2 linked regions of the Oryzias latipes genome follow. The protein of the gene in region 2 interacts with the protein of the main gene of each other region in a pairwise test. Links are inferred from orthologs where the notes say so. Each region holds a gene or a part of one and is shown on either strand. Other genes may lie near its edges.

Region 1 (3,140 bases), on a different chromosome or scaffold from region 2:
GGAACTAAAGAGTCATTTCTCTATGAAATAATAAGCAAAGCCTCACTTTTTAGTCCAAATAAAATACCAAATCAGGCCTTCTTCCACCACCTCACGTCATAACTCAGAGGTCTGATTAAGAAGCGGAGGCGTTCTCAGGAGGAAAAGTTTTCATGCTGGACTGTTATGTGTTTCTCTTCAAGCCTCAGTTGTGTTTCAAAAGTCTAAACCTGTTCTGGTTCTGGTCTCAGATCTACTGCTGCACCGGGTTCTTGTCTCTCACCGGCCAGCTGCACCAGCTGAACGCAGACCTGCTGGGCTGGTGGCTCTGCGAACGCCAGCTGCCGTCTGGAGGCCTCAACGGAAGGCCTGAGAAGGTTTGACAGCTTCTAACATGAAATCACAAATCTTTTTAGTTTCCTCGTGAACCAAACCTTAGTGCTGTTGAAGAAGATCATTGAACTCTTTTTCCCATGAGGACCAGCCCTCAGAAACCTGCCGGCGTTCTGAAAAATGTGTTTGTGTACACATTTCCTGTCATTCCCCTTTTTCCCTAAAAAGGAAAGTGAAGTGTGGTGGATCACAGAACACGTTTCTGCTGTTTGTCTGTGACACTGATGTCACCATGGGTTCCATGGGTTCCTATGAATTAAGTGAGAAAGAAACAGAACATGTGGTACTTGCTGTAACAACATTTCTGGGTTGGCTTCAAATATCAGCCCCTCCAGAATTTTCCGGGTCTTCCGATCAACTGCCTCCGACTCGGTCCAGCTGCTCTCATTTTGAACAAGTTTCACCATCAAAATTTCACAATTTACTGTGTGTGGGTTTAAAGAAATCTAGAGTCCAGGTTTTGGGGGTGAAATGAGCACATTTAATGTTATCGGACAGAAAGGAAAAGGTTTTCAAAGCATCACTGAGTCAGCTTTTTATTCTTTAGTTAAAATGTAACGTTTTAACGAAAAGATAATGTTTTTGTGTGAAGTTTGCTAAGCATGCTGCTGTTATTCCATTGTTCAGGTTTGACAAACACTCTTGAACAAACAAGGACAAAAAAAGATATCATTGTAAAGAAATCCCTGATGAAGAAGGACTTTCATCAGTGTGGAGCATTTCCTGTGACGGTGCATAAAGCTGCCCTTGGAAAATAAAACAGCTTTAGAATTTGTGTGCCATCCCTTTAGTTTGAAAAGTGTAGCAACTTTGATCACAACTTTGAAGGCAAAAACTAGCGGCGGCTTCAGGATTTTTGTGCTGCAATAATCACTGAAATAGCTGTGAGATCCTGAATTTTGTGATGTTGTGGTTTGAGTGGAAGACAGAGAAGAAGAACAGAGATTCCTCAAACACTCGCATTCTGTGGAGGAAAGAGATGAAGGCCTTTTGCCGCTTTAAGGCCAAACATCAAGTTTGCTCGCCGTTTTTTTCTTTTTCTTTTATGTACTACTGGCAGACGGCTGAAGCTGTGAATGTTTTGCACTCCTGGTCTCAAAGCCATCTGTCTTTGCAGCTTCCAGATGTCTGCTACTCCTGGTGGGTTTTGGCATCTCTGAAAATCATCGGTAGGATCCACTGGATCGACAAGTCCAGACTACGCCAGTTTATTCTGGCCTGTCAGGATGAGGAGACGGGAGGTTTTGCTGACAGACCAGGAGACATGGTGAGCTATCACACACATAAGAAGAAGAAGAAGCTATCCGACATGTCTGGACCTCCGTGGTTCTGTTTTTTTGAAGGTGGACCCTTTCCATACTCTGTTCGGGGTGGCTGGACTCTCCCTCCTGGGCGAGGAACAGGTCAAAGCGGTAAATCCGGTGTTGTGCATGCCAGAGGACGTGTTACAGAGGATCGGCCTGCAGCCGGACCTCCTCAGCTAGCCTCCAGATGCTCGGCATGTGTACGTGATGCTCCTCCGACCTCCACGCCTGGACAATGGAAGCAGAGACAGAAGCACGTTTCTCAGCCAGAGTTGAGTTCATTCATTGAACAAACGAGGAAAGTTTCCGTCATTCAACATTCCTGAAGCTCTCCACTGGATCAGTCCTGGAACATCTCTTGTCTCATTTCTGTCCTGTTTTTGTCCTTTTATCTCCGTAACAACTGCTGACCATCTGACATGTTGCTGTGGAAAAACCCCTGATACATTTAGTGAGGAAACGTTTCAGGAGAGGGCGACAAATCTATCATTTTTGATGTTTTAGAAGCTGAGACTGCCTCTCTCTGTTGTCTCATGTTTCTGCCTTCATGCTCCTGCAGCTGTGTTCATGGGCTTCAAAGCTGCAAAGACTGTTTCATGTCACTCAGCTTCAGAGAGTGTCGGCCGGCCTCAGAAGGCTCCGTTTTGATGCCACCTTGAATGTCTTCTCCACACTTCCAGCCACTATATTTATTAAAATGTGTCACTCTGTGAGCGTCTGAACGAAGCTCCAGGAAACTCTGTGCTCGGTCACTTTCTGCTCTTTATCTTGTGTGGGGAAGTTTTCAACCGTCTCCTCTCTGCCGTCACATTCAGGCTAAAACGATTCTACTTAATACAAGGAAAAGAAAACATGTTTTATCAGTAAGATTTTCTAAATCTAATAAGAGCTTTTCAAAACTTGAATTCAAATTTGATGAATAAGACAAATGCTCAATTACAGCCTCAATAAGTTTATGCTCTGTGTTAAAACACTTTAAATATTTTCAACTTTGACCTTCAGCAAATCAATGACCAGTGAAAACCCTTCAAACCTAAGTAATGATGTTTTTGTGTGTTTTATCCTCCTAATTATAATTATTTTGTTTTGGGAAACTCAGCCATCATGAATCATTGACATTTAGGAAGAGATTCACTCTTCAAGGACAGTTTCAGGAATCTAAATTCCATAAGTTCTATTTTTATGAAGAGATTATTCATTTAATTTGAAAGAGTTTTTTACCCCATAAATCTTTTGAGTTATTAGAAAAAAACAAAACATGCAGTTGAGCCATAAAACTGTAAATGTTCTTTTCTAAAAGCCTCATATTTACGCAGTAACCTTAAACCCAAACTCAACGTCAAACATTTTGTAGAAAAGCAGAAACATTTTTTGACATTTGGCTACCTTGTCAATGAATATCAGAATTCTGGTAAACGTGGTTAAAAGCCGTCTTCTAAATATGATTCTTTATTTGTCATTTGA
Region 2 (4,378 bases):
CTTTGTGGAGAAAGTAGACGGAGAGAAAACAGAAGAAAATCGTTCAAGCCTTCAAAATAAAAGAAATCTGGATTTAGCAGAACAGAAGCGTTTTATTTTAGAACGACGGTTGTTCTCACGCTAAAGCCACGTTTAGAACATGTGGCGCTGAATCTCTACTGTTCCGAGGATGCTGATGGTACAGTTGGAAACTCCATGGATTCGGGTTCGTTATGGCTTCTGGTTTTCAGCTTCCCCCTTAACTGTTAAGGGGGTAGTTAAGGGGGAATGGATGTATTTTAATGGGTCCTACATGAAGTCTAGAGAACAAGGAAGTTGAATCCGGCTGCAGACATCAGATCCACCGACGGCTCCCTTTAACGTGGATGAGTGCAGGTTCTGGTTCTGCTTGGCAGACCTAAGTTCTGCCCCTGTGACCCGCCTCTGAGGACAGAGGTGGACTTGGGAGGACCGGGCCGGTGTTCCGGGCTCAGACACTCACTGTCGATGGCCGAGGCAGAAGGCCTGGATGTTGTAGGGGGATCTCCGGTGGCTCACCCTGATCTTCTCGTCGCGGTCGGCTGTGATGATGAACCTGTCGTCTGGAGAAATGACCTGGAGGGGGGCACACAGAGGGAGGGGCAGGTCAGGGTCCCGGCCCCTCAGGTGGATGTTCTCATCAGAGCAGAGGGTTCCTCGGGGTTCTGGTTCTCCTCAGCTCAGCTTATGCTTCATGATCTTCAGCGTTTACCTTCCGTGACGCCGGCGCTCTCTACAGAACGGTTGCTGTTAAACCTGCCGTCATGAGTGTAGCGTCCTACCACAGCCAGCAGCATGGACAGGTGACCCAGCTTCAGCTCGCCGTCCCTCTGCGCCTCCACCACCGAGAAGCTGTAGACGTCTCCAGACTTGTCGGCCAGCAGCAGCTCGTCTTCCGCCCGGCTGAAGGTCAGCGCGGTGCACCTCCTGACCACCCACCTGCCCCGCAGAGGCAGAAGCTGCTGTTGCACCGGGTCCGGACATGACGCGGCGCTCAGTGGCCACGCAGGTGAAGCTCACCTGGTGCTGATGCATCTCCACGAGGGCTCACAGCCAAACAGGACCAGCCTCTTCGTGTCATCAGTCAGCGCCAACAACTTTCCAGATGCAGATGTGGCGACGGCGAGCACCTCGTCGTTTCCCGTTTCCTCGCTGAAAAGATAAGACTTAAGGCCTGTTCACACCGGGGGGAATTTCGCCGGCGATTTTCGCCGACGTTTAACGCCTCGTGACTAAACAAAGGGCACCAATGAGAGTGTGCACACCGACGCGAAAAAACGCCATGCGCCAAAGCGTCAAAAAAAAAACGCCTCGGGTTCGTTTTTTTTTCCGACGCGTCGCGTCTAAATCTATTGGACCAATGAGAATGGCGCTTTTGCACACGTGTCTGGAGCTTCTGAAGTTACAGTAAAACACAACTTGGGGGCGCTCAAACACAAAACTGCCTTGCTGAGCACACATACCAGCGAAGAAGATAGACGCCAAGTAGCGTCTACACTGCCGCGAAGAAATAATGACGGACATTCTTAAATATCCCCGAACCAAGCACCAGTTGGAGCTACTGGTGCTTGAAATATTCATGTTTTCTTTGTATGATTCTGACTAGCGCGTAAATACTTGCTCTCTTCTTCTGAGTGAAAAGCGACTTTAAGAATCGTAAAGTTGCGCAGCGCCACCTTGTGTACAGGAGTATTTCTGTTTACATTAAGCGCCATCTAATGTCAGGGAATGAAATTGCATGTTCGCTCGGCTCATCGTCAGCGAAAATCGCCTGGGTGTGAACACAAAAGACGTGGCGAAAAACGCCTGGCGAATATTCGTCCCGGTGTGTACGGGCCTTCAGAGGTTACCTGCATTTCCCATCAGCCTCTGCTCCTCCTGCTCCATGTTCTCACCTGGTGTCATCGCCCTTCGTCTGTTTCGGCTTCTTCTCAGCGAGGCTGCAGTCAAACACAAACGCCTCTCTGCAGGTCAAACAGGAAGTGCTTCAGCTGTGGTCGTTTCACAACCTTCAGGTGAGGAAAACGTCTGATCTGCTGGTGTGACAGAGGGCGTGGCCACTTGCTCGACCTTCACAGACCATCATCATCTTTATCAAGAGCCATAACGTCATCAGAAATTGCCCACAGTCTTCCTCATCATAGTCTTCATCAACAGCCCTGATCCCATCTCTTCTGCCTTCAACCATCTTAACGGACCTCAAACTCAAGTCCCACCTTCATCTCCACCCTCATGATCATCATCATCATCATAGGCTTCCTTTTCAATCATTTTACTATGGAGCCAACAGCTCGCACTAGTTTTGTTTGCATCACGTGACTGAAGAGCCCAACTACCAGGAGGAGCACGCGGTGGTCCTTGATGCAGCGGCACGCGCGGCTCTCACCTGTCCTCCTTCGTGTGAACCGCCACGAGCTTCGTGCCACAGCTGGTCACGAGCCAGTCTCCACAGAAGCCCAGGGTCCTCATGTTTCCGCGCCGTCTGTGCACCGAAAGACAGACACGCGCGCAGTCGCCTATAAATGACGTCACGTTTCCTCCAGTCTCTTCTTCGTGTGTTTTCTGCCCCAGAGGACGAGCAGAGAAATAAACTGAAGACAGTCAGATACAGAAACATTTCATCGTTTTTCCGGAACCAAACAGATTATGTGGGAAAATTCTAACAAGCCGAACCTCTATGTCGATGTTTTACTTTTCCAAACATGATGTTCTCGCGAAGGCTTCGGCTGTGGGAGGGGCCGGGGGCGTGGCGTGAAATCCGTATAATCTCATTGGCCCAATCCTGGAGCTGTCCCTACTCTGATTGGCGGGAGGTCGAGCACATATTTTGGGTTACATCACAGGTGACGCTCGGCTCTCCTGGACCGTGAGGTACGGTTCGGTTCGGTTCGTGCTCCTCTGCGCTCGTGCTGCTTGTCCGTGGCTGCAGCAGAAAGATGGCGGCTGCTCTGCTGAGGACGGGACGCCTGTTCCGGACGAGAGTAAGTCCGAATCCGAGAGGATTCTGGGTCATTCAAGCCCTGGTTCTGCAGGTTCTGATCTTTAGAGCTGTGCAAAAGGATATCGACACCAGCAGTTCTGTTTGCATTAGTCATTCGGAACCGTTTCACATTTGTTTGGACCTGTTCATGTACAACATTTTGGACCTGTGCTCAAAACGGGCTGGAAAAAACACATTATTCATGTTTGTTTTTTATTTGCATAATATTATTTTACATTATTTGAAGAAACTGAAAACACAAGGTCCATTTACTCAATGAAAATCTTCTTTTAGCCAAATTCCATAGACATAAATGTAAATATAGCCACATGAAACCGTCTTTCTCTACTTTCATTTGTGACGTTAAAAACACAGCAAACCTCTCAGGAATTCAGACTCTAAACTTTCCTCCTTTTTCATTATGTTTTCATCCACTCAGATGGAATCATCATTTTATTCGCTGTGTTCTTCTGACGATACGTACAGATGTTTGGTTAATAAAGTTTATTTGTAGAAAAACATCTTTTGAACTGAGCAGCGAGTTCTGCATAAATCAGATTATTTTGGACCTTCTAGTCAGAGGTGTTCTGCTAAATGGACCGACACCATAAAGCAGGAGGAAGTGTGTCCGGACCCGTTAGACCTGTGACACCGACAGCCCCCTGCAGCTGTCCGGATGCGTCCTGGAGCGCTGGCATTTCTGGAACCAGGAATTCCAGAGTGGAAATAGACAGAAGACTGAGCTCCTGAAGTTCTGAGTTTAGGACCGACAAACATCTGCCGCCCCGGTTTGGACCTGCACACCGGTTGAGATTGTAATGTCCTCCTGCAAACAGGTTCTTCAAACACATGGAGGTGAACTGGCCAAAGACCGGTTCTGAGATGTTCTGCAGCCTCACATAACCCTGAGTTCTCCTCCTCCTCCCTGTGAAGCTGCCAGTGTCTGTCTTCAGTCTGAATGGAGTGAGGCTCTCCATCGGAGCGCACCTCCTCCTCTAACCTCGCTTTAACTCCACACAGATCCGTCCCGGTTCTGTTGGGTCCTGGGAGAACTTCACTGAAGTTGGTTTCTGTCTTTAGTGTTTGCAGGCCGAGAGCTGTACTGGTCTGGGTAGAACGTCTGCAGCCTTCAGCACCAAATCTGGAGGCTCCAACAAGTCGACCAAGAAGAACCGGCCAGGTAAGACGTGGACGTGTGGCGGAAGCTCCTCCTCCTCCGCTGTGGCGTCAGCCTCGTTTTTCTGCTCCAAACATGGCTGCACAGATTCAGGACTTCTGGCTTCTCCTCTTGGTGGCGCAGGCTTCTGTTTTCAGAACCTCTGCCTGCAGTTCCAGTCCAGCAGAGTTGTGGACTGGCTTTGGTTTCAGAGGAGGGAGCTG

The links.
Region 1: the proteins of wdr4 (region 2) and rabggtb interact in binary tests that used the Homo sapiens proteins (3 or more experiments, as listed by UniProt). The two-hybrid records come from large-scale screens. The link is inferred for Oryzias latipes from reciprocal best matches to the Homo sapiens genes WDR4 and RABGGTB.

Annotation. Positions count from the first base shown.
Region 1 is NC_019875.2:3,791,796-3,794,935, forward strand, and holds the end of rabggtb (geranylgeranyl transferase type-2 subunit beta), read left to right. Parts: intron 1-230; coding exon 231-356; intron 357-1,489; coding exon 1,490-1,639; intron 1,640-1,715; coding exon 1,716-1,856; 3' UTR 1,857-2,416; downstream 2,417-3,140. UniProt on the Homo sapiens protein: Catalyzes the transfer of a geranylgeranyl moiety from geranylgeranyl diphosphate to both cysteines of Rab proteins with the C-terminal sequence -XXCC, -XCXC and -CCXX, such as RAB1A, RAB3A, RAB5A and RAB7A.
Region 2 is NC_019879.2:31,098,277-31,102,654, forward strand, and holds the start of wdr4 (tRNA (guanine-N(7)-)-methyltransferase non-catalytic subunit WDR4), read right to left. Parts: upstream 2,833-4,378; 5' UTR 2,723-2,832; coding exon 2,692-2,722; intron 2,617-2,691; exon of another isoform or gene 2,610-2,616; coding exon 2,405-2,609; intron 1,983-2,404; coding exon 1,914-1,982; intron 1,171-1,913; coding exon 1,039-1,170; intron 958-1,038; coding exon 801-957; intron 595-800; coding exon 482-594; intron 1-481. Other genes in the region: fibrous sheath CABYR-binding protein, read left to right, coding at 2,955-2,999, 4,079-4,178. UniProt on the Homo sapiens protein: Non-catalytic component of the METTL1-WDR4 methyltransferase complex required for the formation of N(7)-methylguanine in a subset of RNA species, such as tRNAs, mRNAs and microRNAs (miRNAs).